Lepisosteus oculatus: one gene and its partners. The protein of the gene in region 3 purifies or fractionates together with the protein of the main gene of each other region. This does not show direct contact. Links are inferred from orthologs where the notes say so. Each region holds a gene or a part of one and is shown on either strand. Other genes may lie near its edges.

Evidence for each region.
Region 1: the proteins of tsr1 (region 3) and rps23 fractionate together in Homo sapiens (co-fractionation; 3 studies listed by BioGRID and IntAct, with this or other methods). This does not show direct contact. The link is inferred for Lepisosteus oculatus from reciprocal best matches to the Homo sapiens genes TSR1 and RPS23.
Region 2: the proteins of tsr1 (region 3) and rrp12 purify together in Homo sapiens (affinity purification with mass spectrometry; 3 studies listed by BioGRID and IntAct, counting the BioPlex papers as one, with this or other methods). This does not show direct contact. The link is inferred for Lepisosteus oculatus from reciprocal best matches to the Homo sapiens genes TSR1 and RRP12.
Region 4: the proteins of tsr1 (region 3) and ltv1 purify together in Homo sapiens (co-immunoprecipitation; 4 studies listed by BioGRID and IntAct, counting the BioPlex papers as one, with this or other methods). This does not show direct contact. The link is inferred for Lepisosteus oculatus from reciprocal best matches to the Homo sapiens genes TSR1 and LTV1.

What each region holds. Positions count from the first base shown.
Region 1 is NC_090699.1:56,700,464-56,708,440, forward strand, and holds the start of rps23 (small ribosomal subunit protein uS12), read left to right. Parts: upstream 1-4,959; 5' UTR 4,960-5,052; coding exon 5,053-5,056; intron 5,057-6,315; coding exon 6,316-6,475; intron 6,476-7,313; coding exon 7,314-7,434; intron 7,435-7,977. Other genes in the region: atp6ap1la (ATPase H+ transporting accessory protein 1 like a), read right to left, coding at 1,183-1,283. UniProt on the Homo sapiens protein: Component of the ribosome, a large ribonucleoprotein complex responsible for the synthesis of proteins in the cell.
Region 2 is NC_090699.1:16,787,477-16,795,160, reverse strand, and holds the start of rrp12 (RRP12-like protein), read right to left. Parts: upstream 3,019-7,684; 5' UTR 2,887-3,018; coding exon 2,748-2,886; intron 1,763-2,747; coding exon 1,539-1,762; intron 270-1,538; coding exon 186-269; intron 1-185.
Region 3 is NC_090721.1:10,489,954-10,496,929, forward strand, and holds the start of tsr1 (pre-rRNA-processing protein TSR1 homolog), read right to left. Parts: upstream 3,001-6,976; 5' UTR 2,970-3,000; coding exon 2,852-2,969; intron 2,164-2,851; coding exon 2,060-2,163; intron 1,667-2,059; coding exon 1,450-1,666; intron 1,242-1,449; coding exon 1,107-1,241; intron 560-1,106; coding exon 141-559; intron 1-140. UniProt on the Homo sapiens protein: Required during maturation of the 40S ribosomal subunit in the nucleolus.
Region 4 is NC_090712.1:1,926,629-1,934,641, forward strand, and holds the start of ltv1 (protein LTV1 homolog), read right to left. Parts: upstream 3,020-8,013; 5' UTR 2,747-3,019; coding exon 2,744-2,746; intron 2,501-2,743; coding exon 2,369-2,500; intron 1,775-2,368; coding exon 1,583-1,774; intron 1,259-1,582; coding exon 1,171-1,258; intron 710-1,170; coding exon 577-709; intron 1-576. UniProt on the Homo sapiens protein: Essential for ribosome biogenesis.

The DNA of each region.
Region 1 (7,977 bases), on a different chromosome or scaffold from region 3:
TGGTAACTTTCACAGCCATATCAAAAATCAAATTATGTCCAACAGTCTTGATGCCCATAGTCGAAGATCATGGGCCACCCAAAACAGAAAAAACATCAATGTTCTCTTAACATTTTCAAATGTAATTAATCATATCATCCAATTTATCTCACAGGAAGAAATTATTCCTAAAGGATCAGGTCTTATAAACTCCACAATAATCAAAACAAACCAAAAAATAACAAAATTCCCAAAGGCCATGTTCCTGCATTCTTTTGTAAATTTCATCAAGTTCATAAGAAGGTTTTATCTATAATTCATTACACAGTAAGGGGATTTTAAATTTTACATGAAAAAATCTTCTAATATAGCAATTAAAGGAGAATTAACTATTATTAAGCCTCCTATTGTGTGCCATAAGTAACAGAGCTACCATTTTAACCGTACATTTCATCATAATTGTATATTCAGATTAACAACATCTGTTTCTTTTATGATACGTTTCATCATTTTTTTCTGTCGATCATGATAGGACAGAGGAATGGGTCATTGTGTCTCAAAGAATTAAGAAATGATCTCTTGCTAAGACATCATTGATAGTGACAGGTTTTCACATTTGTTGTCTCTAAATACCTATAGGAATGACCTGAAGATCATTAGATAACAACTCAGTACTATTCTGGCTTGTGTCACTTTCAATTATGATGTAGTGGACAAGGATTTATCTTGCGAACTGATTCCCACAAACATTGTATTTCTCTCATCTATTTAACAATTATATAAAACTTTTATTTTATATCACGCCTTTAAAAGTGGCCTCTCAAAGCACTATATGGTGAGAGACAAAAGGCACACAATGAGAGAAGACAGAAGAATTACACAATGACAATAAGGGTTTGGAATTCTGTAGGAAAGCTAAGGGGGAGACACAGAACCGGACAAATAAAAGCCAATGTAAAGAAGAAGGTTTCACTTTTCAGTTTTTCATTCAAATTAGTTTAAAAGTTTAAACTAAAAAAAGAACAATCTCCGAAATTGCATAAGTGAAGAAAACTCAGTGCAATAACTAGGCTTTGGCTTTCCACTTTGCAAATATGGTTTAAAGCATTAAAATGTGCAAGAGAATGCAAAAGACATTGTAATTTGAATGATGTAAAATCCCCTACTGTTTCCTGCAGTTAGCATACAAATGGATTCACTTACCTCTCTTCCACCAAAGCAGGCACCTGATCATATGACTGTGATAGCTGTAGAAAAACAAATAATATTAAAAGAAATATCATAAGTGTCTGGTGTTTTTCCATGGAGACGACCAGATGAAACTGCCACAGATGAAGGCTGCTTCATAATCTGCTCTGATAATATAGCCTAAACCTGAGCTCGCCGACTGACACAGCCAGCAGCCAATAGAAACAGGAGAGACAGGATAATCATGTATCACAGTCACACTCACCCACACACACACACGAACATGGCTTTTGGCCAACCCTGAAAATACTGCTTCGCTCCGTTTCACCTTCCTCACACAACCCTCTTTTTAAATGAAGAGCACCTATAATGGCACAGTAACCAATTGAATTCTTCAGCTAGGCTGAAGCAGGCATTTGACATTTTCAGAGAGAGAAATAAAAATATGGTAATGTGACCTACATTCTCACTACACTGGCTCAATAATTGAAATTAATTCACTAGAGATATGTGTGTTACCCACGGAAAAGCTATAAGTGGAACAAGATTGTCTAATGAAGTGGAATGAAAATGTTGCAAAACAAGACTGAGGGAATTACATTCTCCAAACACTGCTTTTCCACGCCTTTAAATGCACAACAGCATTGCACATTTCAAAGCACTGCAAAATGTGTGTCTCAATACCACAAATGTGAGACATACCAAATCATACCAAAGTATTCTACAGCACCTTTGAACTCCTCTCACATACACAACCACAATCTTTCTCCTGAAAACAATTCCCTTTTGAACTATAATTAATTTACATTGTAAACCTTGATTAAAGATTATAGAAGTCATTATAGAAGTCTATATAGAAGTATAGAAGTCATTTTCCATTTTTCAGAAAGAAAATCGGAATTCTAAACCTGCCTTTATTATCTTTATTCATCACTGCAGAATGTAGTGCTGATCACTTTTAAGGCTGTCAGAGGCTTACATAGATGGATGATATTAGGGGTTAAAGCTCTACATTTAAGGGTTATGGGTGCTGATCTCCACTGTGTACATTTTTGTTGCACCCAACCGCAAGAACATAAGAATGCCCATCTTTTGTTTAACAGTGATTGCTCTATACCACTTAGCTGTAGAACAGGGTAGCAACATTGTTGGGGGCAGCTCTTCGTGTGATTAGTGTCCCATATACGGAGCTGTGTCTCAGTCTGCTTAATGTTCCAGAAACCATGTGTGAGTCAGAAGGATGAATGCCATTCTACAGTCATTCTGTAGGTGCTGTAAGTACAGTGTTCATATAATTTGAGATTATTCATAGTGGTAGTCAGCATATGCTCGCATGAATACTGATATTTATAATAAAAGCAACAAAAATCATTAAAATCTTAAAATGCTCATTCGTTTTAAATTGTGATATTTGGGGTTTGTAGCCTTGGTCCATAGTGGTATTAAGCGAGATCAGAATAATCTCTGTGGGATGAGTGGTGTCAGTAATGGGGGTGTCACCGAAATGGAAACACTTCAGGGCAGTTCATTAGCAGATGTGTTGGAGGCCGTTAACACGCATCACTGCAGCAAATCTGAAAAAAAAAAAGATCAACAGCATAAGCAGAAACCTGTTACCCACGCATTATGATCCTCTTCATTCTTTCTACAGACACTTCAATTACACTAAAAAAAAGCACTAGGATTACCCCATAAACTGGAGGCAAGCATATACTGTAAAAATAGATTTCCTCTGCCACTTTACTTTCAACCTGTTTCATCATCCATGTTCTGCTTTTTTTAGATGGTACCTCAGGAATGTACAGAAGTGCCCCCTGAGTAATAAATGATTTTTAAAACTCTAATTGTTCAAAGGTAAATGATGGTGTCTTTTAATATTAGTAAATTTAATTTTAAAAATGCCACAACTGGTTTTCCACTTTTTCCATTTGTTTTGGAACACTATGTTGTGACATATTGAACCTTTTCTATGTGCTACATGTACTGAAAAGTAAAGATGCTGCAATTCTGCGTTCTCTTGATGTACAGTAGTGCCTTTGGGGCTCTAGTATTAAAATATGTCATAATATTCTAATAGGAATCACATCATTGCCCTTGTTATGACAAATGACTTGACTTGACTTGAACTTTATTGCCATATGTAACCGGTGCTGGTACAATGGAATTCTTACTGACAGAAAGTCTCTCGATTGTAAAACAAGTGTAAAAAAAACAAAACAAAGTGCAAACAGTGCATCAAGACAATGTACAAACAAACAATAGACAATGTGCAAGTAAACATGCAGACAGTTTGAATGTAAACAATACAGACGTGTAAACAATGACTGGAGACGTACAATAAATAAATTACAATGAGGTAGATGGTGATGGTGTAGGTGTGGTCCGAGGGGGATGGCTAAATGTGTTCGCCAGTCTCACTGCTTGTGGATAGAAGCTATTGAAGAATCTAGTGGTAAGTGTCCGTATGCTCTTATATCTCTTGCCTGAGGGCAGTGGGGTGAAGAGCTCATGCCCGGGGTGGTAAATGTCCTCTATGATGGCCAGAATTCTACCACGGCAGCGGTCCTCATAGAGCTGTTTAATCTCGGTGAGACCGCAGCCGATGATCTTCTGGGCCATATTGACCATTCTCTGCAGTGCCTTTCTTTCTCGCGAAGAGGTGTTGCCATACCACACGGTGATCCCGTTGGTGAGGACGCTCTCGATAGTGCAGCGGTAGAAGTTCACCAACACATGTATTGGCATCCCCCATCGCTTGAGGCACCTCAAGAAATTAAGGCGCTGAGCCTTCTTCATGATAGAGTCAGTGTTCACAGTCCAGGTTAGATCTTTAGAGATGTGAATTCCCAAAAACCTAAAGCTGGTGACTGTTTCCACTTCCGTTCCATCAATACTGAGTGGGCTGTGAGTGTGTGGCCTGTGTCTCCGAAAGTCCACTATTAGCTCTTTCGTTTTCTTTATGTTCAAGTCCAGGTTATTGCTATGACACCACCTAAGCAGCTGTACAACTTCATCCCTGTAAGTGGACTCGTCATCATCACTGATCAGTCCTATTATAGTGGTGTCATCGGCAAACTTAATGATGCGGTTGTTGCTGTGTCTTGCTGTGCATGGAGCTCTATATGGAGTACCTTTTTTCATAATTTAATCAACGAAAGATTTTGGCATTTTACATGTAAATATTTTCTTGCCTTGCCAGTCAAAAACAGAATAGATTTACAACTGTTCAATAAAAGTTTTATTTTTATGTAACATGTTAACGTTTTTCGTTTTACCTGCAAACTACATAGACAAAACAACAGTATTTTCACTTTATTTTACTGAGTTTATAACATTTCATGGGAAAGGATATATCAGTCATGGAAAAATACTATTATTAGCTAATTATTATTTGGATGACGACGATATCGAATAAGACTAACTTTTTACCCATCTATACAGTTGGGTAATTTACTAAAGCAATCTCGAGGGTATATATTCTGCCATTATCAGTTATATCTGATAATATTATTTTATTACATTTAAAAATAATTAAATGTCCGTTATAATTAAATTAAAAAGAACACCGAAACAAATCAAAATGACCAGAAGTGTACGGTAAGACATGCGCATAGAGCAATTACTTTTCAATCAGGCGTGCAGAAGACACCTATTATTTCCAGGAAAGGCACTAATAAAAGTGTCTGAAATATTCCCTGAATATTCATATTGAAATAAGTAAATATTTTGGACAAGGTTTTATAGATTGGTACATTTTAAAAGTACGATCATTACAATACATAAAAAATAGGCGCTTTCTAAGTTCCTTATTGGGTCTTCCGAAAAGCCATTGTCGCGGTGATTGCTGGGATCGCTCTTTCCTGCTAGGGCGCTGAGACGAGAAACATGGGTAGGTATTGTATTTTGCTGGAAAAAATACATTTTATCTGCATTTCAGTCTCTCCGAGGCAATAAAAAGGCGTGTAAGTGGTTTATAAGAGTATATTAATTGTATTTGTGGTATTTTACTGTGATTGAGACGATTTTTTAAATGCATACTTGCATACTTGTTGGGTAACGTGGAGAGCGGCCATGCTGCATTCGCCTGTGCGCCACAATTTGGCCGAGGTATTAGCACTCCGGTCCGTGATTCGGAGTTGTTTATCAATTAGAATATGAAATAAGGATTTAAAAAAAATGTTAACAGTATAGCGTTTTCTTAACTATTATAAAATAATAGTTCCTTGTTACTTGTTATACCGTTTAACCGCATCGTTAACAAGGTAAGAGGAAAAGGCTTAGCTGAGCGTTTGATTTGAATCCTGTATTCTTGTGTGTTTTTTTTGTAGAAAAGCATTTATAAAAAAGGGCTGGTGTAAAGTGAATGTTTATGTATATCCTGATGTCATGCGATGTAAAGGCTTATGCGGACGTGATTTCCAAAAATTTAGAGGTGTTGAGTAAATTTATAATAGATAAAACTCCTTTTTAGGTACGATTTGTTTTATTCATGGTTCTTTAAATCCATTAAGACATCGGTGTGCAGTCGTAATTTGGATTCTAGACTATTCACAAGTGAAGTGGTTTACTTGAAGTAAGTTGTCTATCTCTGTTGTCAAGTACTAGGGAGTGGACTGGGCATAACACTAAAACACTTTATGTGGAAAACACATAAGTTGCCTTAGAAGAACATTATAAAAAGCTGGTAAATATTTATATGTATTGTGCGATGAATTGTTTCACCTTTTAATGGAGAAATGATGTTGATAATGGACTGCAATGAAAAGCTACAGGTGTGTACTAAACACTTAAATCACTTTTGTTTAAGTAACTTGAGGCACTGTAAAAGCATTTTAAGCAAGATTCTCAATAAATGTTATGTGAATTTTGATAACTTGACAGTTGTAGACAGGAAGTAAAAGGTGACAAATATTGAGGCCTGGCAATATAACTCCTGTCAGATGTGTACACCATGAAGTGCTTTGAAAGAATTGTGGAAGATTAAATACTTATCATATTTTGACTGCTTTCTTGTTGTAGATTATAGGTACACAAGAGGACTATACAGGCCTACATCATCTTGCAGTACCATTTGCTCTTCTTATTAATAATCTTAGATCTCCTGGAATCAGATTCTGCCCACTTAATCTTTGCCTTTCCTTTCCTCAGGCAAGTGTCGTGGTCTTCGTACAGCCAGAAAGCTGCGCAATCACCGCCGTGAGCAGAAATGGCACGATAAGCAGTACAAAAAGGCTCACCTGGGCACTGCCCTGAAGGCCAACCCCTTTGGTGGGGCTTCCCACGCTAAAGGCATCGTCCTGGAGAAAGTGTAAGATTTCCTTTGCGTTCTGTATAAAGTAAATCTTTCTAGCTTGCTGTATTAAAACATTCACTGAGACGGTGTTGTCATGCGGATTCTGTTTGGATTCTGAACCTCTGAGGGAATGTTCTTGAAATAATGTTGAAATGGGCGAATGTTGTCGGTGATGCCTTGTGAACAGCTAAGGGGTTCCAGATTAAGTGAGCGTTTTGAGTGTCCCGTTGATTAAAAGAAAAGGATATTTTCAAATTTAAAAGAGTGTGCTCTGCACATTCATGTGATGCTACATTTAAAGATCTGCACATCCTGCAACCCAAATCAAATCAAAGTTTATTTATCAAATGCACAACAATACGACGTGCAGCAGTAGTTGCTGGCAATGAAATGTCTTTCTTTCGAGCTCACAAGAATCACAAAATCAAAAATCACTAAATTGAGGTTATGTTTTTTGAAATTGAATTAAACTCAATATGGGTAGAGCTGCTATGTGTCCATGGTGTATGCAGTATATACAACTAGTGCAGTTATGCTGAATACAGTGAAAACTGTCCATGTAGCCATTACAGGTGATTTGCTAAAGGAGCTGCAGGTTGGCTATTTAGCAGTCTTATTGCCTGGAAGTAGAAGCTGTTCCGTAGTCTGTTTGACTTGGACTGAATGCTTCGGTACTGTTTACCGGATGGTAGGAGGGAAAACAGTTTGTGACCGAGATGACTGGGGTCCTTGAGAATGGACCTGGCCTTCTTCAGACATCTAGCTGAGTAGATATCCTGGATGTTTGGTATCCTGATATCCTGGACCCCCAGCTCTTCTTTCGTAGTGAATGAATGAGTTTTTTCTCCCACAGGGGTGTTGAGGCTAAGCAGCCCAACTCGGCCATCAGGAAGTGTGTCAGAGTCCAGCTGATCAAGAACGGCAAGAAGATCACTGCCTTCGTGCCCAATGACGGCTGTCTTAACTTCATTGAGGTTAGTCCCAGGGCTGGCTGGGCTGCAGCCTTTCTGGAACTGTACAGAACTTTGCGTAATAGGCTAGAATTAATTTTTACCTAATGTTTCATTTCTTGAAATGTTTTAGTCAGATGGCAATCTAATTGTTCAGAGCCTGGATTTTAGTATCAAGTATCTAAATTGGCTATTGCATAATACTAAGGATATTCTCATGATACCAATTATTTTAGGATTACTGGAAAGATCATATTTTTTGATAATGCTAAATGTGTTACAAAGTTATGCATATTTCATAAATCTGTGTTGTCTGATTTCACTTCCAATTGGTTATTTTTTCTTTACCTTGAAAATGGGTAATACACAGATTTTCAGCAACGTCTGTAGACGTATACCTGGAAATTGATCCAGAAAATTACAGATGACTTGTTTTAAGTCTACATTAAAAAAAAACCTTAAAAGCCCCTTTAATATCTTAAGTTCAAAGGAGTGAAATCACTAAAACTAATTAGTTCTAAGCAGTATAAATCGATTCTGCCTGATGGAAACAAAAATAGTATCTTA
Region 2 (7,684 bases), on a different chromosome or scaffold from region 3:
AGTACCAGTGAATTGGGTCACTTTAAAGGTGAGTGTTATATTATGTTTGTTTTGGGCACAACAAACGTAATCATCAGAGGTAACGTGAACTGTTAATAATTGATAGCCAGGACAGAGGATTTCTGCATCATCAATACACAGTGTCCTTCCAGTACACAAGGGCACAAAGCAGGTCCACGTCTCACCAAAGCAGCAAAATACTCCGTCTCCGTCTCCTTCCCACCCTGAGCGCGGATCACCTCCGTCACCGCAGCCAGTACCGCGCAGATCTGGAAAACAGACCAGGGACACGCTGAACACAGACGACCTCACACAAACCCAACGCTTCCTGCACTACCTCACTTGTGAAAATAGATAAGTCTGGGATCACTCTGCAGGCAGATGAGTAAATATGAGAAACCGTCTGACATACCACTAAAATGGTTTTAAACTTACAGTTGAATGCCAAGTTAGAAAAGGGACACACTCCTGAAAAAGCTGAAACCCTCGAATGCAAGAGATAAATTCTATTGAAAATGGGGGGGTAGGCACCAGTGAGGAAGATGCGATCATGAGGAATCCTTGTCATCGGTGACGTTCTCGGAGAGCAGCAGTTTTTCTCCCACTCGTGCTCTGCTCATGTGACTAACAGCACACAACAGCCAGCTCATTTCTAGTGTACTGGATAGCAATTGACCCACCACTACTACACCTCTCATCAACGATCTCCCTTTAGTAGGATAACAAAACAACTACTAGAACTCGCCAATTGAGAATAACCGAGCATGCGATACAAAGAGCGCTCAGCCAGCTGTCTTCTGCCGCGCGGGGAATCTTTGGCACAGTCTGCTAGTGACAGGGCACAGGCTCGAACCCGGGGCAAGCTACTCAACCGGCTTCTGCCTTCCTTCTCTAGAGGCAGTAGTACCAGACAGGTTGTGGGACTGGCGCCACACCAGCGCTTTAGAGAGCCCATGGAGATCAGGTGTCCCAGGGGAGAGGGGGTGTTATTGAAACATGTTAAAAGCATGAAACGGTAACTTAAGTTGCACTGCAAGTCTCCCAGCAAAGTGAAGAGGAGAGACGGCTGTTCCCCTCACTGTGCACTGTTACACTGCAGGCCCGGAAGCGACTGCGAGTCAAGCTGTCCAGCCTGTTTGCCAGCCCAGCAGAGGCAGGAGGGAGACGGGACCCGAATTCACAAGCCGAGGAGAGCAGCGGTCAGGGGGACCAGCAGCCCCCAGCGCACAGGGTGAGACACAGAGCTCTGCTGAAAACCCCGAGATCACTGAAGACAATGATCCCAACCAGAGCCATTACATTCAATTACGATACATCGTTATGCGAGGGCTCTGAAGTTTTTAATGGGCACCTCCAGTCCCTGAGGGCTAGAATCTGGCAGATTTTAAAGGCACTTTTAATGGCTACTGGTTCAGACCTTAAAAACAGGCGACACGACTTGTGATCCACTCAAACCAGAGCGGAAACGAAAATCAGAGCGGCCGTCCGTTCTTGGGGGCTGTAGCTGCCCCCCCCCCGCCTGTCCCGGAGGTACCAACCTCCTTGTGAGCAGCAGAATTGGACTCCCAGAAGCGCTGCACTTTGCTGAAGGTGACGTTGGAGCAGTCAGACAGGCCGCTGAGGAACGTGCCGGAGGTCCTCTCGGAGAGCGCGGGGCCTTCCGCCGAGCAGGCACGGTCGGAGCCGCCCTCCTGCCTCTCCAGGGCCCCCACCTGCAGCTCATTGTGCAGCTTGAGGGCATCGACGGTCAGGTCACTGTTTTCTGGGAAACAAAAACAAAAAGAGCCCAGCCGAGCGGCCCGCAAAGGAGGGAACGCTTAGTTTTGGAAACAGGCCCCAGGATCAACCTGGAGAAAAAAATGGGGGGACGCACTTGCATCATTCACTCGATGAAGCGCTGTGAAGGGGCAGCAGTGTGGAGCAGGGTTAGGGTGCTGGACTTGTAACTTGAAGTGGGTTCAAACCCCAGGCGGGACTCTGCTGTTGTACCCTACTGTACTGTTTATAATCCAATTACTTCTTAAAGCTTTTAAATCATCAAGTATTTTTTTTTAAAGTCTGATGCACTGAATAGGTTCAGCTGAAAACAATACTTTCCCTGGTCCCTATAAATCAGACTATTTGTTTTATTTCATGTAAATAATTCTGGGATGAAGTCCACGCTTCGATTTTTTTTCCACTAAAATTTAAAGCTCACTGATCTACGAGCAAAATCGTCCAACACATTATACTGACGTTTTCCGTCCTAAGAGATTGGATATTCAAACGAAGTCAGTTTTGATGACAATGTGTGGCACAAGGCAGCCAGCAGTCGATTGAACTGGCTGCCAGGACAAACTTGGTAGTCGTTGTCTCTTTAAATACACACGTGGTGTTGCCGATGAGAACTAAAATTACCAATGATCTCTATTCCAAAGCAGAACAAGCGTGTATCGTTTAAGGTAAAGGAAGCAAACGATATTTGTAGATACGAGACTGTCATATATTTAGCGATATTTATAAGTTTGCGACTTACGTTCGAGAGTTTATCTAAGATTTTAAGTTTATGACATGTTATCTCACTCTTCATTTAGCTCCAGCACAGTACATGTAATACACAGGTCCCAATTCTGAAAAACACTACGTTGACAAAACAGCAGATTTCACAGTAATTTCCACCCTGGGTTACGACCGTGTACCCACGTGTTTTCCACAGGCAGGCCGGAAAGCCCCGACCTATCCTGCGCGTCAGACTGCGGGATCCTCACCTGAAGGCCGGCTAAAGAACCGGCTTCTCGCCGCCTGCCGATAGCGCCGTGTCTCCGGATTTGAATCACTGCTGTGGCCCTTTTTCCATCGCTTCAGCTTCTGTGCGGTTCCAGACCGAAGCTTCCCCGACTTCACCATCTTGTTCGGCGAACTCCGCACACAAGAACTGCTGAATTTTTGAAGAGATCACCGAGTCGCCTGTGTATCGACCGGCGTCACATGGGGGGATTCAGGCAGGCGCCAGCAGACCCACACATCTCCCTCCACAAGGTGGAGCAGCCTGCAGTACAGTACTAGGTTAGCCTACAGTGATTTCTGTAGGCACAGCAAGTGTCTTTTTGAAACCGATTTAACAACTGTATATCATAATGGACAAAAAACGGGACTCTAAATATTTTATCCTCATATCAGTAGATTAATACACTTAGAAATCCTGATTCGCACCAGAAAAAAACGGACTTAAAAACATGCAGTAAAAACAGTACCAGTTCGTTTTACCAAACTAGTCCATCTGGTAGTGAGCAGGTAATGAGCAGATGAATTCATTCCTACCGTTTCCTAATTACTCCCACAAACCTTTAAATAAACCATCCTTACACTTACATAGCGCTTTTCTTTTACCCCTTGAAGTAAAAGAGCTGCCCCCCGTTCTCAGCTTTAAGTGCACTTCCCCATAATTTCCACTTGTGTCCCCTGGTTCATCTTTCACTGTTGATTCTGAAGACGTCCACTGGGTTGACTTTGTCAGCGCCTTTGAACATTGATTTCCTCATGGACCTGTGTTCAAGACTACAAAAGGTCCAGTTCCTCCAGGCTGCCAGTGTACCATATTCCTTTAAGCCCTTACACAAACCAGTCCGGGTCTAGTGCAAACCAGACATGAAACCAGTCCTTACTCCTTTACTTATATTATTTAGATGAAATAATGGGATCTTTTGCACCTGTTCAGAATGAGCAAGATATCTTACAAAAACTAAAAACCACTTGTCCTTTTGCAGCCTAGTATTGTAATTTTGAGTTATTCTGACTACCAGCCGTTCCTCCATGACTAAACAAATTACTATTTGAATCACTACACACATTTGGGATCAGACAGTTATTCCAACTTCAGATGTTTTCTAATGTCATGTTCTGTATTGGAGCTAGTATTTTGATGGCACAGCTTTCTGATGATGTATAGTTCTTAAATACATTCATGTATGAGAAATCACACGCTCAGCAGGAACCACACGCACAGGCTCAGGAAACTAGAGACAATCCTTCAAGCTTGGGATGCAAGGCAGAGCATAGAGGAGTGGATTACTTTCAGGCTGGACAGGACACCTTCATCACGACCACAAAGATTTAGAATAGCTAAGCGTAAAACTCACTCTGAAATCTAGCCCAGGACATAAGATCTGTGAGGAAGCAGAGAACTGCAATGTCTCCCTTTTTCCACAAGGATGCAAGGGGTTTAATAGTGCAGTATTGGGAGCTCTTCATTTAAATGTCTTAATGGCTAGTTTAATTAGTGTTGGGTCTAGGGAATAGGCCCATCTTGCATCCTGTGGTTCTGGAACAGGCTCTAAGTTGCTATGTGCCTTACCGGGAATAAGCAATTTTCAGACAATGGATGGTTGCCCAACAATAAACATCTCCAATGCTTGTTATACATTTTCAGTTAGGAATAACTTAAAATAGGCAAATTTGTAAACCTTCACCTCCATCTTCTCACAACCTGCAAACTATTCAAGTCTGGGCAAGACAATGTTAACAGGCAGTGTCAGTTTAGAATCAAATGGTCCAGCTTTTCCATTAGTTACGAACTGAGTAGCAATCATATGATTAATTCTACTCGGATGATTTAAGAATGATCAGGAAATATTGTGATTTAAAACTATACTTTGTTTCTTCAAGACATGCTTGGCCCATGTCCTAGTTTTTCTTACAATCACTCACCACTCACCCCTAAAGGCAGCAGAACGTCTGCAGTGCCAGCTCTGTTTCCTTTTGTTCTGTAGATTTCTTTCCACAGTCCACAAGGTGGCACTTGAGTCTAAAGGTTTAAGGCTCATCATAGCAGTTGCAGTATGTTGCAGACTTTTTAAAAGTACACTACTGGGAATAACCAAAGACAAAAAAAAAAGACAACACTACAGGAGTCACAATCTTCCATTTTAATTGACAAGTTTAAAAAAAACAAGGATGAAAATTAAATCTGCTTATAAATGTACACATCACCTGTAAAATAAAATTGTACGCATATTAAATTATCTCATTTCCTATCTTAGAATATATATTTTAAAGTTTCTAAATATACAGATTTCTATATATTTACACCCTCTTGGAAGTCATGGGATATGCTTGTTGAATTTGCATGTTTTATCAGTTTATGAGCCAGTGTTTTTATACTTGCAAATAATAGCCCAGTGAAAATAAGATGGCTTCTTGGTTTCCAGGTTCTGGACAAAGAAGTCTAATCCAGTCTCCTCCAAGTCACTACAAATATGTTCATGGCTTTATAGTCCCATGCCAAACCTGGCTTCACCTGCATTGTGTCTGGAAGCATGACACTATAAATGCAACACTTCCATAGCTCAACACAGAAGACACCGTTCATAAACCTTTGCAAAGAATGAAACTTATTTCATTAGAACTTAATTCCCCCAATCCCACACTCAGACAAAATACATTCTTACAAAGGAATTTTAATGCTGTGTGAAGCAAACGAGGAAATCACAAGTTTCCTGGAGGAAAAACAGAACACTGGTTAATCAAGTATTTTAATGGGCTCCTGCAGGACTGCAAGTGAGACCAGTGCTCCAGCAAGTGAAGTGATGCTAAAAAGGATGGAAAACATGTTATTACAATCTAAATCCTAATGGTTTGATAACCAAGACCATGAAAAACCACACAATGGTACTTCAGAGTTAGAAGACGAAAAGATCGTGGCTGTACCATGCAGTACCCTCAACCCTTACACTGTATGTGGCAGCTTGCCACTATTTAAATATTGTGCTGTTCTGTACACTAAAATTCTAAATGCAATGTTGTCTAAGATTGCACTAATTAGCAACAGCCACTTCAGTATGATTATTTCATTATGTTAATTCTAGTCACCCCTTGCTCCCGTGACTTTATTAATGCTGTCCACTAGGAAACTACTTCTTCATTTTTAACTGTTATTGTCTATGTACTGTAGTACTACGCAATGATTAATTAACCCTGGTTTGAAGGTCACTATCATATACAACATATGCATACCGCAAATCTTCCTTGTGATAAGTTAAAGTTCTTATTGAACATTAAAGATTCCAAAGAAACCCATGCAGAAAAATGACCTAATAAGAAAAACCTCACAAACTTACTGCACTTCTTGAAGAGTGCCAGCATCTTTGGGATAAAGATACAGAACCACAAGACGGTTGACCACCATGGGTTTTAATTTAAAGGTCTAGGTCTACGAATAACTTTATATGAATATTTGTGAAAGAAAAAAAAAAGATTTAAAACAATTAGGCTAAACAAACCTTTTGTCCTTAAGTTTGGAATACCCAGTTCACTCCTATGACCTACCTCAACTGTCCACTGGCAACTGCAAACACTAATGTCCCTGAACTTCTTGTCAGATGATGAAGAGTCAGCCATGTTCAGGAGTGAGTCAAAGAAGTGGAGTTTGGCTTGGAGGATGTGCCTCTAGCCTCACCAGTTATGTACTTCACAGAGGTCACAATGGAGAGTAAAAAAAGAGCTAAATCCTCATTAGTTATCCTTCATTAGAGATGGAGGAGATCTGTGATTCTTTAGACCTGGGAATAAAAATGGACCAGCAAATGACAGAGTCTGGCATTTTAGGAGGTACGCCACTAGGGAACCTGCTCTGATTTTTTACCAATCAGAACCAACCAACTTAGTCAACTCATATAATAAACCTTGCAACAATGCATAACTGGCTTTCACAAAGGTGTAAGTAAAGCACTTTGATGCAAAGACCTTGCTGAGATCAGTTTGTGATAATGTGATAATTACATGATCTTAACTTGCATATTGAACATCACACCTTTAAAATAACAGCTTATCAGAAACTGACCTTATATACCATGAGTCTCTCCATCTCAGAAATGTAGTCTGCTCTCTATAGGTCCTTTCTGGCACCAAGTGTTTAACAGGAAAGAGAATATAAAGCATGGAAAACTACTATAGGTAAACCCAAAGCATTAAATATAAGGGGAGTGATACCTTTCATAAGATCTGGACACACTGGAAATAATTTACTCTACTGATGATTAAAATGTAGTCATTAATTAAAGGCAACTATGTCATGTCTGTACAGGAACCTACTGCAATTCCTGAATCTTACCTAGTGAGTAACTCCAGCATTCCAGAATTCCATTTTCTTAAAGGCACACATCTACATTTCAGTGTGCAAAAAGCTAAACAGTTTCTTAATTAAAATTGAATCACACCTGGAGCAAGGAAGAGTCAGATTCCCAGTTCCAGAGAACACTTTTTCAACTTTGCTCTGCAGTTTCCTGGGACTGACTAATGTGCTTGTAACTCATATTTCCCTTGACAGCCTGCAAGCACAGCTGTGCAAGGACTTTGGGCTCCTTGCTGCAAGATCGGCATTTCTATCCCATGCCTTACTCCAGGTCACACAAACATTATTTTTAGACTTTTTGAACACCCAGTAGCTAGGCATGGGCGGTATACAATTGTGCCATATTCATCACTTATATTTTTCATTTATAATACGATTATGCATTTCAGCCTTGTCTCATACAAGAAGGGCACTCCGGACTGCAATGTACACTAGTAAATCTTTGACCTTGAAAGCCTCCATTGTAAGAACATTCAGCCACATTGCAGACATCTCTTTGGGGATCAAATGATGAGAGGCTAATTCTGTAGGCCAGTACATTTTTACATTTCACTTTTGTGTTTAATTGAACACACT
Region 3 (6,976 bases):
TACAAGACCACCCCTTTAATCAATCAGCAGGAAGCAGTTAAGGGAGCTCTGGGTTGTTTCAAGAAAGTCCAAAGTATTGGGGCTAAACTGAACTCTCAGGGTGATTGTGGGGTGTGTCCAGAGGAGGGGGGGGGTCAAACCTTTGTCTCCATGTCCCCTTCCTTGCCAGGCGGGTGCTCCCGGGTGCTGAGGGGCAGGGGGTCCTGGGGCGCATCGATCTGGCTGAGCTGGAAGTCCCCGTGGCCTGCGATGTGCACCAGCCTGTTGACGCCGAGCGGCCGCCCGCGGACGTACCCCGAGACCTGCAGCGTGCCCAGCCCCCCCGGCCCGGGCGCGAAGGAGGCCCGCTGGGCCAGCAGGTACGGGCGCCGCGAGCGGTACGCCAGCTGCCGCTGCTTCTGCGATCCCAGGTGCCTCAGCAGCAGCACGGCCTCCTGGGGGGTATCCAGGCTGAACAGGCGTCCGTCGGGGAACCGCGCCTCCACGAGGCGGCCCAGCGCCCGCCTGGCGTCCGTCCGCTTCTTCATGGGCAGCGCCGCCACGCCCTGACACACCAGAGCTGGGGGCACAGAGGAACAGCATCACCTGGGATAGAAGCGCACGGCCTGAACTGCACAGGGTGGCCCCCCAGCATCCCAGGACACTCCGGTTTCATCGCCAGCCTAGCGTCATCTGGCTGCCAACTGCTTCTTTACAGTTTGCACACCCTCTCAATTTCACACTGCTAGTTGTCAAACAGACTCATTACTACAACCATCAGACCTGCGTAGAGATGATAAGGCACAGTACCCACTGTCCTCTGACACACCCACTGAGGGGGAGGAGTCACAGCCTTTGGCATGCCCACTGAGGGGGAGGGACCCTCCTCTGACACGCCCATTGTGGGGGGGGGAACCTCCCGAGACACGCCCACTAAGGGGAGGAGCCACTCACAGCCTGATGGGAGAATGAGCACCCATTACAGGAGTGACGCTCTCTCCCCGACTCACTGCCAGCTCACAGACACCTCGTAGCTCTGATCAGTCTCTCACTGTTCTGCGTCTCATGCAGCTGTGGGTGGCGAGTCTGGAGCAAGATGGGACACCAGTGGCCAGGGCGGTGCTTACCATGGCTGGGCAGGCCCTGCGCGAAGAGGCAGGACAGGCAGTAGTCCCCATAGCTGTCCCAACCCTCTACAGGGTCCAGCACAAACAGCAGGGTGTCCACTACTTTCGCAACATCCAGGACAGCATGCAGATCAGCTGGGGAAGAAGAGAGAAGAGACAGTCAGTGTCGGTCCAGCAGGTGACTCAAGATCAGGGACAGTCCAAGGGCCAGTGTCAGTTCGCCTGGTCAGTATCAGTCCAGCAGGTGTCTCCCAGTCAGCGGGAGTCTGGCAGTCAGTGTCAGTTCTAACGCGACCAGTGGCAATCCAGCAGGCGTCTCCTGGTCAGCGGCGGTCCAGCGTACCCATGTCCGGCCTGAGGAAGATGAACCTCTGTTTGAAGCGGGGGAGGACGAGCCCGAAGCTGCCCTGGCCCCCCACACCCTCTCGCACCAGTCCCATCTCCTCGCTCCGCAGGAGCTGCAGGACGCCCTGAGTGCCAGTCCCAGCATGCAGTGGGACCACTGCCACCAGGTGAGGGGGGCCATCCTTACTGCCCAGCTTGCGCCTCTCCAACAGCACCTGGGGACAGAGGCAGAGCCAGGAGACTGAGACACCTCACCAGAGTAAATATAGCCAGGGTCATCACACCCTCACTCACACACACTGATACACAGGGAGACGCACGCACACTCTGACACGCACACACACAGGGAGACGCACGCACACTCTGACACACACACACACAGGGAGACGCACTCACGCTCCGACGCGAGCACACAGGGAGATGCACGCACACTCTGACACACACACAGGGAGACGCACGCACAGGGAGATGCACGCACACTCTGACACACACCGGGAGACGCACGCACACTCTGACACACACACACCGGGAGACGCACTCTCTGCACTTCAGCACACAGGCAGGAATGCCCCCAGACTGCTCTCAGGCGCAGAGACGTTCAGTCTCACCGTGTCCTTCTTGTTCCTGCGGAGCTGACTGGCCTTGTGCCTCCGATCCAGCTTCTTCAGCGCCTTCCTCTGCTTCCTGCTGAGAGCCTTCACTGCCACACGGCCTGGGGGGGACAGCAGGAGGTCAGCACTGCCCCCTGCAGGCTCGGTGCACACTGCCCTGTGACCCCGGGGTCAGCGCCTGCAGACTGGCACTCTGCTCAGCCACATCCCGCAACATCGCGAAGCGCAGAAAGCGCAGGGCCCGCTGACCCCAGTGTCTGAGGGGAGCTGCTGTATACCTGACCCCGAAACGCAATGTCAGGCTCTCACACCTCGAGCTCGAACACCGCCCGCCTTGGATTCGAACGGGAGGTGACGTCACGGGGACAACAAAACAGCCCCGTGAGTGTCGCGAGGGAGGCAAGTCTGAAAACGTCCGAGCTAGAGCGCTCCTGCGCCACCGCCGGCGAGTCTGCAAACCTGTCGCTCCCAGGCGCACGAACAAGCTGCGAAAAGTGGAAACTACTCGTGTGGAAGGTGAATCAGTCAAATCTAGCGCGGATAAACAAGTTGCATAAACAGAATAGACTCTCAAAATGAAAACAAAAATAAGATTTAGGACTTTCTCTGTCCTGAAGGTGGTCCCGGGTATTAGAAATCGTACAAGTTACCGAAAGCACAACATCAGCACCGACGCCACGAGACCGCTTGGCCATTTAAACGCACGTGTTCCAGCGCCGCTGCCCAGACCTGCCCTCCTCAACACAACCGTGGCGGCTACGCAGCCCTCGACCCCCGCCGCCCGCTTACCCTTGTTCTCCCGCTCAATCTCCCCCTTGGTTCGGTGTTTGCCGTGTTTGTGCTGCTTGTTTTTCTGTTTGTATATCCCGGCTCGGTGAGCCTGCTGCTGCTCGCCAGCGGCCGCCATCTTTCGCGTGGTGCATAGGGCTGTTTTTCCCAGGGAGTACTTCCGGGGTCACAGCGCTTTGACCCGGCGCCATGATGCAGCTGAAATAGCGTATTTTGGAATTTGGAAGTAAAACGATTATCATTTGTAGGAAGTGCACTGACATTTTTTTTTCAAAAGGCGTCACATAGGTGTATTCCTTCTGCTGCTAAGCTGTCGTCAGCGGGCGGTGTACCGTGACAGTCACAGTCCAGTCGTGAGCGGGGTCTCCCCTGGCATCAGTACAAGATGTACAGGATACAGGTGCTGCTTGTAGGATCGAGTCTCAGTTCGGGGCAAGCATGTGCCTGTTCACCGGTCTCAGCTCTGGGTGTCGCACGTCACCCCTTAGATATTATAACAGTCTTGCGTCCACAGCATGACTGTCACGTTCTCAGCTCGTAAGAAGAACCTTTTACACGAGCAGTCGAAGTAGTCAATTAAACAGATAACCTAATTATTTTCCAATTTAGACACATATAAAAGTTTTCTTAAATCATTTTACAGTTGACACATCAGAATAACATACAGTAAAATAATAATCACGTGCTACTCGTTTTGTGACATCCGTGAGTTTTATGTCAAATGTGAAACACCCCACATATCATTATTAATTAGATAATTTGAAAAATCATTTGACTATAAACACAAAATAGCTAGCTTTTTGACGATAAGCATTTTTAATTGTTCGGAAATGTGATGCGAATAAATTTCAATCCCTAAAAACTTAACTAAAATGAAAATACCGATCTGGACGCAGGACACTCTGGCCGCTAGGTGGCAGCATTACAAGAAACAAAATGAACGGAGTCAGAAACGTTCCCAGTCCCCGGCGCGCCCCCTGCTGGCCATGCCTGTGCCGCCGACCCCGGAAGAGAACGGGCGACACGCCGCCTCGCCGTGATGAGTCCCGGATCCGGCTCGTCCCGCAGGACCCGGAGCCTTTGCCGCAGGAAGTCCGGGCGGCGAGATAAGAGCCGCTGTGCAAACTTTCCGTGAGGCCCGAGCTCGGCTTTCGCCTTCCTTCTGAAAGCGCGACCTCGGGAGCCTCTTATATTCCTGTGGTAAAATATCTCCATTCGCCACCACGAGCTGTAAATGATGTAATGGTCCTGTAAGACTGGACCGCGAAGGTCCTGCTTGGGACGACGTGACATACAAGCTTAAACAGATTAAAGTCTCTTCAGACGAAATATGTAGAATATTGAATAAGTGAATTATGAATTATCCCACAATAAAACAACTGCAGGCAGAAATGAGCTACACCCACTCAGACACGTTTCTATAAATAGGATTTACACATGAAACAGCCAAAACACAGGCTGGGTGCTGTGCTAGACACATGCCTCTGGGAGCACTGCTCTCTGAAGCAGCTCCTTCTCCCTCCTCGTCTCCCTCTCCTTGTTTTGCTCATTAGCCACCTGGCAAAGTCTTTATTTTATCACTTTCTTGGCCATATGTAATTTCTTGCATTAGGAATTTGTCTTTTCACATACCCCAGCTTGCTCTCCATGAGACACAGAGACAGGGAGAGAAGCTGGGGGTCAGAGCGCAGGGTCAGCCATTTATACAGCACCCCTGGAGCAGCTGGGGTGAAGGGCCTTGCTCAGGGGCCCAAGAGAGTAGGACTCCTCTGCCGGCCACCGGATTCAAACCGGCAACCTTCCAGCCACAGGGGCAGATCCTGAGCCACAGAGCCACCGCTCCACCACAGGGCGGAGATCCTGCGCCGAGCTCAGCCCCCAGCCCTGCTGTACTGGCAGTGTCATCACCCGCCAGGCCCGGCTCTGCCAGGGATGGGTGGGCTGGATTTGGCTGGTAAGTTCAGGGACTGCTGAGGCACAGCGCCCCCGTGTGGCTGGGCAGGTGTCTGTTTTTCTCTGCTTCTACGGCAAACAGGGCAAGACTTGGGACCCCCCAGCTGGGGACAGAGACAAGACCGAACCGACGCCAGGAACGGGTCACAGGGAAATGCCAACGACACCGCCCATCCCTTCCAGCCCAGGAGAGCTGTAGGCTGTCAGTCAGCAGGAGGCGCTGTGGCACCAGGAAGGGTTTTCGGCCAGGTGAGGTCCTGTAGTTGCAGGCCTTGTTTTAAATGATATCAGGTAACAGTGCGGTTCAGTTAGTTCACAGAGCTAACAGAGCCGGTTAAGCCTGTGGGATTGTGGGACTGTGGGCGGTCTGAATAAAATTCTGTCTGATCCTGCAATTCCAAGATCCCTGCGGTGCTCCGGGTACATGGATCAAAGACTCGGAGGCGCAGTCTAGGTGTAGCTGTCCGGCTCAGCGAAAGGCAGGCCGCTGTACTGCTCTCGCTCGCTGGAAGTATTGTGCATATCGAAGTCACATTTGTAGTGGCGCTTGTGCCGTAAAACGGAGGCACTGTGTCTTTAAAACACTTGAAGAACAGAAATTGCCCATTTCCTTCATAACCCCCCCCCCCATCTGCTTATACAAGCAATCATAGCGGCGGAATGCGTCTCCCATTCATGAGAGGGTTTCAGCGAGCTTCCTGTCCGCCTGGATACAGAGCCCAGGCCAGCTCATTGGCAGGAGGCGCGAGGCTGGACCGCAGCCAATCAGGAGTGCCTGGCAGTGATTCTGTGCCGTGATTGGCTGTGCCCGCAGTGGGGAATAGAGTGTTGCTGTCTTGTCTATGAACTGCAGCAATGGCATACCTTTTCACCGTTTTAGAGATCAGCTCATTTAACCTACATTTTGTCAGTGTGGGAATGAGAGATTACTCCACCATGCAGAAGAACAGTTCTGGGTTTTGTTGTGTCTGTCCTTTTTGAATTTCATTGCACATTTTGAGCCCTGTGATCCCCGATATTGTTATAGTAGGATCCACTCACATACATTTTTCAGTTTGTCTTTGGGTAGCTAATGCTTTGAGAATCTGGGTTCATCTCTCTTGGTGCATTAAATTGGGAAATATGTGGACCAGTGATTACATTTCTCAGACTGACAACGTCTGCTTGGGGTTAGAGCTGAGGCACAGGGAGAGGGGCAGTGTGGGTTAGTGGTTAGATCTGAGGCACCGGGAGAGAGGCAGTGTGGGCTAGTGGTTAGAGCTGAGGCACTGGGAGAGAGGCAGTGTGGGCTAGTGGTTAGAGCTGAGGCACTGGGAGAGAGGCAGTGTGGGCTAGTGGTTAGAGCTGAGGCACAGGGAGAGGGGCAGTGTGGGCTAGTGGTTAGAGCTGAGGCACTGGGAGAGGGGCAGTGTGGGCTAGTGGTTAGAGCTGAGGCACTGGGAGAGAGGCAGTGTGGGCTAGTGGTTAGAGCTGAGGCACTGGGAGAGAGGCAGTGTGGGCTAGTGGTTAGAGCTGAGGCACAGGGAGAGGGGCAGTGTGGGCTAGTGGTTAGAGCTGAGGCACTGGGAGAGAGGCAGTGTGGGCTAGTGGTTAGAGCTGAGGCACTGGGAGAGAGGCAGTGTGGGCTAGTGGTTAGAGATGAGGCACTGGGAGAGAAGGAGGTAGCTAGTGAGTGGAACTTTGTTTGCTTCAGAGAGGGGGAAAAGAATATTATCTATTTAAGGTCTCCTGGTGTATTTGTTTTCCATTTGTTGTTGCCATTCTGTAAAACACGAGGTTAAGGTGGTGTTGAAGTTTCACCAGGGGGTACAGGAGCAGAGCAGTATCTGTATTAACAGGTCTCTAGTTCAGACCGGTGGGAGAGCTTACAGGCTGCAGTGATACACCAACGATGAGCAGCTATTTATGGAGGGATGGGTGGTAATCAGCTCAGGAGCTCAGGAGCTGAGCCCAGCAAGGCCTGGGGCACACACACGTGTACTCACACACATGAGCACTCCTACGCACACATTTATTCACACTTGTGCACATTCCTGAATGCACATTCACATACACATGTGTGCATTCTCACACACACACACGAACACTCCAACATACACATTTCCTCACACACATGCACACTGACATACGCTAACACACACGTACACGCTCACACACACTCCCTCCCAGGGA
Region 4 (8,013 bases), on a different chromosome or scaffold from region 3:
CGTCAGGCTTTCCGTCCTGTAGCAGAGTTCCGAACGAAAGACGCAGCTTCTGTCTCAGTCTTGAAAAGCGTGACTTTTGAAAGACGGCAGCCTGCACAGGTCAGGACCCAATGTGGGACATCAGCTCCATTCCCATGGGGCACTGCATGGGGCTGAGGGGCGCAAAACCACCATCAACACCTAGAACTGCGCTGCTCCTGACAGGGACCCCATTACTGCCAGTCACTTGCTGGAAAAGGCTGGGATCCCTTAACTTATTCAGAACCAACAGAGAACCAGATAACAGAGAAGCATGGAAACTACTGATAAGTGCCTTCGAAACTGAGAACAGGAGGCAGTTTTTGGAAACAAACTTTTCAGCAGTGTTGAAACCAATGCCATGGCTTCTTCCAAGAAATGGCTGGATGAGATCGATCGTTGAGTCAAAAAGCTACTAGCAAAGGAAGGGCCCTTCTAGTGCTCTTACGTTCCTCCACGCTGACACGGGCAGACAGGGAAGATATACAGAGGAGGGTGGGATCAAGCTCCGCGGTTTGTAGGTCGACACAGAGAGCGATAAGTGAGCAACAGACATACCCCAAGTCGGCGTCCCCCCCAGGCTGGTTCGCCTTCAGGACAAAGTCGTCCTCCAGGATGTTATCCGGATCGTCAAAGTTGAAGTCCTCGTCAAGAGCCGCCACGATGTCAGGATCCATGTCCAGCCGAGGGCCTTGGAGACAGAAGCACAGGGTGAATGCCGTGCAGACGCCACTACGACACACTAGTCTGCACTGCACCAGGGGTGGAGGCGATGAAGTCTATACAGAAAGACATCTTCTAGAGAAGCCACTACAGCCCTCTACAGCTATACCGCAGGGAGCATTGAGTGGTATTGAGTGGATTTATCCGATTTATGATTGCTGTAATACCGATCTTCTAACTAGTTAATCTCCAGTTAATTTAGTTCCATCTGTAGCTGGATATTTAATGATTTCCAAAGGTTCCTACGTCAGAACTAAAAGTGCTCCCTTTTTTCCCAGCAAGCTAGTACTGGCTCCTGCCATACTCGATCCGTTTATGGATCATTTCCACGCCCCGTATCCTTCCTTCCGCCAGTGTCAGGTCACACCGTGAAAAACCAGCTCTAACTGCACTCCCATCGCTCACAGCTCCCTCGCCACAGCGCCGTACCTGTAACTGGTGCCGCTTTATTGAGCAGTCCCACCTCCTCCTCGAACTCCGAGGCAAACACAGAGGAAGGCAGGTTGATGGAAACGGCCTGCGAAAAGACACCCAGGAGTTTGAAGGTTATAAAAGGGAAGATTTCTCCTTTCAGGTGTGAAATACGTGTGCCATCCTTGAGCCCTGGCTGTAGCTACGGGTTCCTCATATACTCTTCTGAGACCAGGTGGCTCATTGTACTTTTGATTGATAGAAAAATTATATTATTGCAGGAAGCACTTTTGGACGTTTACCTTGATAGTTTTTCTTACTAGAAAAACATATGACACCTAAAAAAATAAAAAGACTAAACGAATGCTTTCACTGCAGCATCAGCACTGATTAGATAGCTGGTCTGTAGCAGTGTGTTACAGGGCCTTACAGGGATGGTTTCGACCTCCTCTTGCACGGGGCCGCCTTCAGTGACGAGCAGCCGCCCGTCTGTGTGCGGTCTGCTGGAGGAGACCAGCTCTGTGGAGGCGGAGGGCTCTTTGAGGTGCTGCAGGTAGTCATAATCGTCATCAAAAAACACCCCATACTCCCTCTGCTCCTCCTTCCTTTTCTCTGCATCTGCCTGGAAAAAGAAAAGATCTTCCGTGAATCACCTCCTTTTACACACTGATCTCTCGAATACAAAAACACAGCATTAGCTAAAATGCAAGCAATAATTTGTTCAAAAACGAGAAAGTTGTGGCACAGTTGCTATTGTCGTTTGCAGATCTTTTTGTTTGCTACAGTTTCTTTGCTACTTAAGTTCGGTTAAATGCGAGAACACAGGGAGCTCAAAGCAGTGACTTGGTGAAGCCTGTTCTCCCTCTTTTAAGGACTGAAGTTGTGCAAAACTGGCTGTTGTTATTACACACAGTAGGGCTGAAGATATGTGAGACAGTAGAGCTGTCTTTACCTCTGGTAAAGTTTTGATAAGCGTTCTGTTAATGCATTTAGTACATTAAAAAAAAACATAACATCACTTTATTAGCCCCATACAATTTCTTGCATTAGGAATTTCTGCAATTTCCCTCACGGGATCAATAACGTATCTATCAATCAATCAATCAATAAATAATTTAGTACATTAACTTTTAACTCCTCCTTGGCAGTTCTTTTTGATGGCGTATAAATGAAATGGAACAAAGCAGGAAATGCAGAAGACGAGTGACAGGCTCACCTTGCAGGCAGGTAACAGCACATGTTGGGGTGCCTTCTCATCCGCGGCAAGGGGGTCTCGCTGGCTCCTGTGCACCAGGTGAAAGGTCACTGCTTTCTTCTTCTCAATGAAAGGCTTCTTCTTCTTGTGAGGCTTTCAAAATAAATACGTACGACGTCCCCAGTTTATTAAAACACATTAGAAATGGATTTCATACCTCACATAATGAAATTCAGAATTATCTGTTTTATTTTATTTGAATGTTTAACCCAAAGTGGAATGTCTTGGGCAGCAAAGGTCATTAAACCCAGTTAAGATAAATTCAACACAACGAACACAACACAAGCAGAGAAACTGAAAACAAATGTTAAAAGCGTAATTGGTAAAGATTCATACCATGCCTTTGCTGAAGTTCTGTAATTATTCCAGAGAGATGCAACTACGGTAGAAGTGGATGTATCTTCTGACTCGCAGGTAACTTAATCTGAAATGACAACAGACACCTTCCTAATTAATTTCGTTTACTCTAAAACGCGTATAAACCACGCTTGCACCCCAGCTTGGAACACGCTACCAGCGCCATTACGGAAAAGACCATCTCATTCGTGTAGCTGCGGTGTCCCCATAGGCGTTTTAAATGAGCCATTATGCCTTCATCTTAAATGTTGCCATAACAATAAAGCAAGACACTCAAATAGGACATTTTTGTGGCGTCTCAAAATAAAATAATATAAATATTCGAAAAAGAATGTTTTCTTCACTTGGTACTTTCCATCAGACGAAAGTAATCGAAAATAGACCTTCGGATGAACACTTGCCAAGACATATTAATCAAATTCATGCAATCCAAGTTGACGGGGTTTCGGTGAAATGTACAAAACAGGATTACACGTGACAAATGCAACAGATACCAACTATGCATACACTGAAAAAAAAAATAGGCTATAAGAGAGATTCGAGTTTTTTCAAAAGAAATATTAATTTCTTACAACTATATAGTGTTTAATCATTCTTTCCATAGTATCCCAGAGTGTTTTACGCAGGGGAGAGTCCCACTACAGAGCAAATAAATTCAATATATGAACTAGAATTTATCCAGGACACTGGGATTGACAATCCTACTCCTGAAAATAGTGCGGCCGAAGGAACTGCTACTTACTGGCCCACTGAAACTTGTTTTCCTTTATAGCACAGAACTGTTCAAGTGTCGAGGGGAACAATAAGGGCTCATCCTGATATCTAGAGTAAATATCCATTAGGTTGCATCCTTCTCAGAATTATTTTTTTTTGGATACGCGATAGGGATATTTGTGAAATAAAAGATATAAAGCAGACTTTCGGGGAGGATTAACTATTTTTCGTTAGCGCTAAACATTCAAAAAAGCTAAATAAGTATTCCAAGTGATAATACTGTACGACAGTTTACGCACAGGGTACTGAAACAGGATTTTTTGCAATTTTCTGAATTTTCCTTCCTGAAACGACCTGTAGTGACGGTTTATACAGGCTATGTAAAATGAACAGAAAAGGCGATTTTATCAAATGATTTTGAGATCATAATAATAATAATAATAATAATGACGATGATGGTGATAATGAGACTGACTACACTTCCCATAGATGTCATCATAGTTCCTAAGAGTTATATAGTGCTTTTCTGGACACTCCACTCAAAGCGCTTTACAGGTAATGGAGATCCCCTCCACCACCACCAGTGTGCAGCCCCACCTGGATGATGTGACGGCAGCCACAGTGCGCCAGTACACTCCCTGCACACCAGCTCTCAGTGGGGAGGAGAACAGAGTGATGAAGCCAGTTCAGAGACAGGGATTATTAGCAGGCCGTGATTGGTAAAGTCCGGGGGGGAATTTGGCCAGGACGCCGAGGTAACACCCCTACTCTATTCGAGAAACGCCCTTGGATATATAGTGTCCCTGTGACTATACTGGGGCATCAGACCCATACAGACCACAGGATGAGCGCCCCCAACTTGTCCCACTCACACCAATTTCAGCCACAACCATAGTTTTTCCCAGGAGGTCTCCTATCCAGGTACTGACCAGGCTCACACCTGCTGAGCTTCAGTGGATATACATTGTGTGTTACAGCATGATATGGCTGCTGGCAAAAAATAAATCACATCTGTTTTCTAGTATATCATAATGCTATTTTCCAATGTTGGAGGCTAATCGTATTTCTCATAACATGACCGATATGCCTGGAATACTGGAATATGCATGACTTCGTCATTCCTGTGAAATGCCATTTAGTTGTAGACATTACGGATAACCTATAGCCTCTCGTCATACATGTACTACTGTTAATATCCTGTGCTCATTACCTTTCCTCACCTAACAATGCTTTGTGGCAGTTAGTGTATCACGATGTTGAAATAATGGAAGAGATATGTTGGTCTAAGAGCACAGTTATTTGGTTACCTGTTGAAGTGATCGGACAGTCAATGTCTGTTTATATCCATAGTTATGCCGGACATGGTAGAAACAGTTAGAGTGCCCTCTTCTGGCCTAAGATAAAGACCCATCTTCAAAAACTGAACAGTTAAATGTTTCCTACTAATGGAAAAACGTGTTTTGAAATGTAGAAACGTTAATATTCAATTCAATTTATTTTTCTATAGCGCCTTTCACAAAAAGTTTGCCCCAAGGCGCTTTACAATGCAAGTGACCGTACGTGTAGTCAATACAGAACAGAAAAGACCAGAAGACAACGGAGGAGAGGAACCAAAAACTCAGAGGAACCAGTCAAGCTGGGAGTAGGATTCACTTGAACTCTATCCTAAAACAGCTGGGCATTGCTTTTTAACCTCCTGTGTTTTGGATATACTTTATCTTAAGATCTGCAGCTTGAGCATAAAAAAGTATTGAGAAAAGTGCTTATTAACCAACTCATTAGTTCAATGAAGCAAAGAGCTTGGTGGAAACTAGAACCATCAGGTGTGAGAGTTCCCAGAACAGGGTCCTAATAGAGGTCTAAAGCTGAGCATTTCTATATATCATATGGTAGAGGTTAAAACCTCCTGTCTAAATTTCAGTTCAGGTTTCTTGAGACTCGCACCCTGTAGCTCCATTGGTTTAGTAATTCTCTGCCTTACCCCGATGCAATGAGCAGCTGGAGCAGCACCTAGGGGACACAGTGGGTGACAGCTCCTGGATGTACAGTACTGAGGGACCCTGTGGGAAGAGATGTGCCTGACCAGTGAACAATGCCAGTCACAGGGGAGCTCCAGGTGGCATGCTGGAGCACTGCGGCCTCACAGCGCCTGGGTCCTGAGATCATTTCTGGATCTCTGGATTCCATCCAGAGAACCTGTGCTACTTGGGCCCTGTGGTCCCAGGGATGAGTGCCTTCCTCATATTGTACCAATGGAAGTTAAATCAGTTGATTGTTAGGGATTACCGAGCTTCCAAGTGTGAAAGACCTGTTATTCGAACAGTACCGCAACCCTCTCGAACCAGTTGTCCACCCCTGTACTACAATACTGTATATAATCATAGGATGTTGTTTAACAAAGGACAACAATTTTCTACTACATTACTTAAATACCACCCTCTAAAGAAAATTAAACAAGCTTAAGGTAAGAAGCAATACCCACACACAGCTTTGACACACAAAAGTTACAGTAAAACCCTTTTATTGTACATTTGGTAGTTTCATACTACACTGTGCAGTGGACACAGTCCGTTGATGCTTCAGTAAAACATCCTACAACCACAGCTGTGCCTCAAATTCTACAAAAAAGGTTTACAATTGGCAACTCAAACACACTTTACAATACGTGGACAGCCCAGAGCGTGGAATGGCAGCAAAGTTTAACATACAAAGTGTCCTTAATGTTTTGCAGTGAATTTACACAAATCAATGTTAAGCGGCTTTTAACAAAGGGCATTCTGCACGAGATGAAGAAGTCATTCCAACACAATCCAGTTCCCTCTTCAACATCAGCTACATGCAAAATATTTAAGATGTGTAGTTCTGGAATGTGGGACACTTCATATTTTATGTCTGCATGATACTTTTGATGCCTCTTCACAACATGAAGTAAATAAAACAGAGCCCTCTGAAATCTCTTCACAGAAACTCCACATTCACACTTCAAGTGAATTGAGGCTGCCGACTGTTTGGAGAAAGGCTTTGAAACTATGTCACGTCCATCAAAGAACTCCTGTTTATCAGAGCTCAAGAGCTGCTCCACTGCAATGTAGCTGGCACAGAAATAAATACAGTGTTATATACAAAGTAATATATGCAATTGTGTTTTTAAATGTTTTCACTATATACTGTAACAATGTAGGTTTTAAAAAATACTCGATGATTTTTCACATAATATAATAATTGTTTACAAGTACACTCCCTTCGAAGGTAAATGAGAATTTAATGAAGTTTATATACATTCTGTACAGGACACATAGAATTTAAAAATAATTACGTTCATAAATTACATTTACAGTTTCTAAAATATCACCTAGGCCTCAGTTGATGTCATTAAAACTCCATCAGGGCAACATTAAAAAAAAATCAGAGCATTAAAAAAATAAACCTGACCGCCAAGGGTAACTGTCAAGGGGAAAAGGGGCAGGACTGGTGAAATATTTCCTCCTCCTCACATATGCAACTCCAATCATGACTCTTGCAGGGCTCACAGAAACAGTTTTGGCCTTTTCCATTTCCCGAAAACAGCCCAAGAACAATTCTGAGAGGCTTTATTTACGGTATCAAACAAGACGGGATATTGATCTGCTCCGTCCTTTCCGAAGGGAGATTCCAGAGCCCTATAATGGTGCTTTTAAGCCAGATACCATCTATTATTTACAATCCATCTTAATAAGTAGCCGGACCATTTCTGGAAACTCTAATTTTAGAAGAAAAGAGGGAGGATGGCAGGCTTGCACAGGAAAGAAAATCAATATGTTTTTACCTCCTCTGAGGTGTTGATATCTAGTGTTTTCGCTGCACACATACAGAAAGTTCTATGACGCCAGATACACAGGACTTACATTATTTCTGAGAAAGTGCATACTGTATCTACGGTTACTGAGATTAATTATGAATACTGGCAATGTTAAGAAGCACACCACATAAGAAAAAATAACCCTAGACCAAATCTTCCACCTCTCTGCTTGGTCTGACCCCTGTCTGGGCTCTTGATTTTTAACAGAAGATGAACTCTATGTCTCGCTTATGCATGTAGATTCCAAGACTATTTCAGCTAGCACAAAAGGCCCATAAATACAACTGAGATGACAATATTTTCAAAACACTGGATCCTTCCACAGTGCTGAGTTTTATCGTGGAACAAAAAAAGTTTGAGTGTGTGCAGGGAGAGAAGGATGAGGTCTGGGAGATGTGTTAAAAGCCCAGCTTTCTTCTCATTGTGTGCAAAGATCCTGAGAACTTCAAGGAAACTGGACTGTCTTTCACATTACATGGTGCACAGGAGAGCATGTAACAAAAACTGAACACAGGCATGTTATGTTCTAAGCAACTTGGTGCTGTGCCCAGCAATCTTTCTCCACAGCTGCACAGAAAATACCAGCCCTGGGCACAGGAGGCTGGATCTGTCCTGGGCACCATCTTCCCCGGTAGGCAAAGCCTGGCTCTAGGGCTCTTCGGCTCGGCACTGTGATGCATGACAGAGTCTTGAAGCA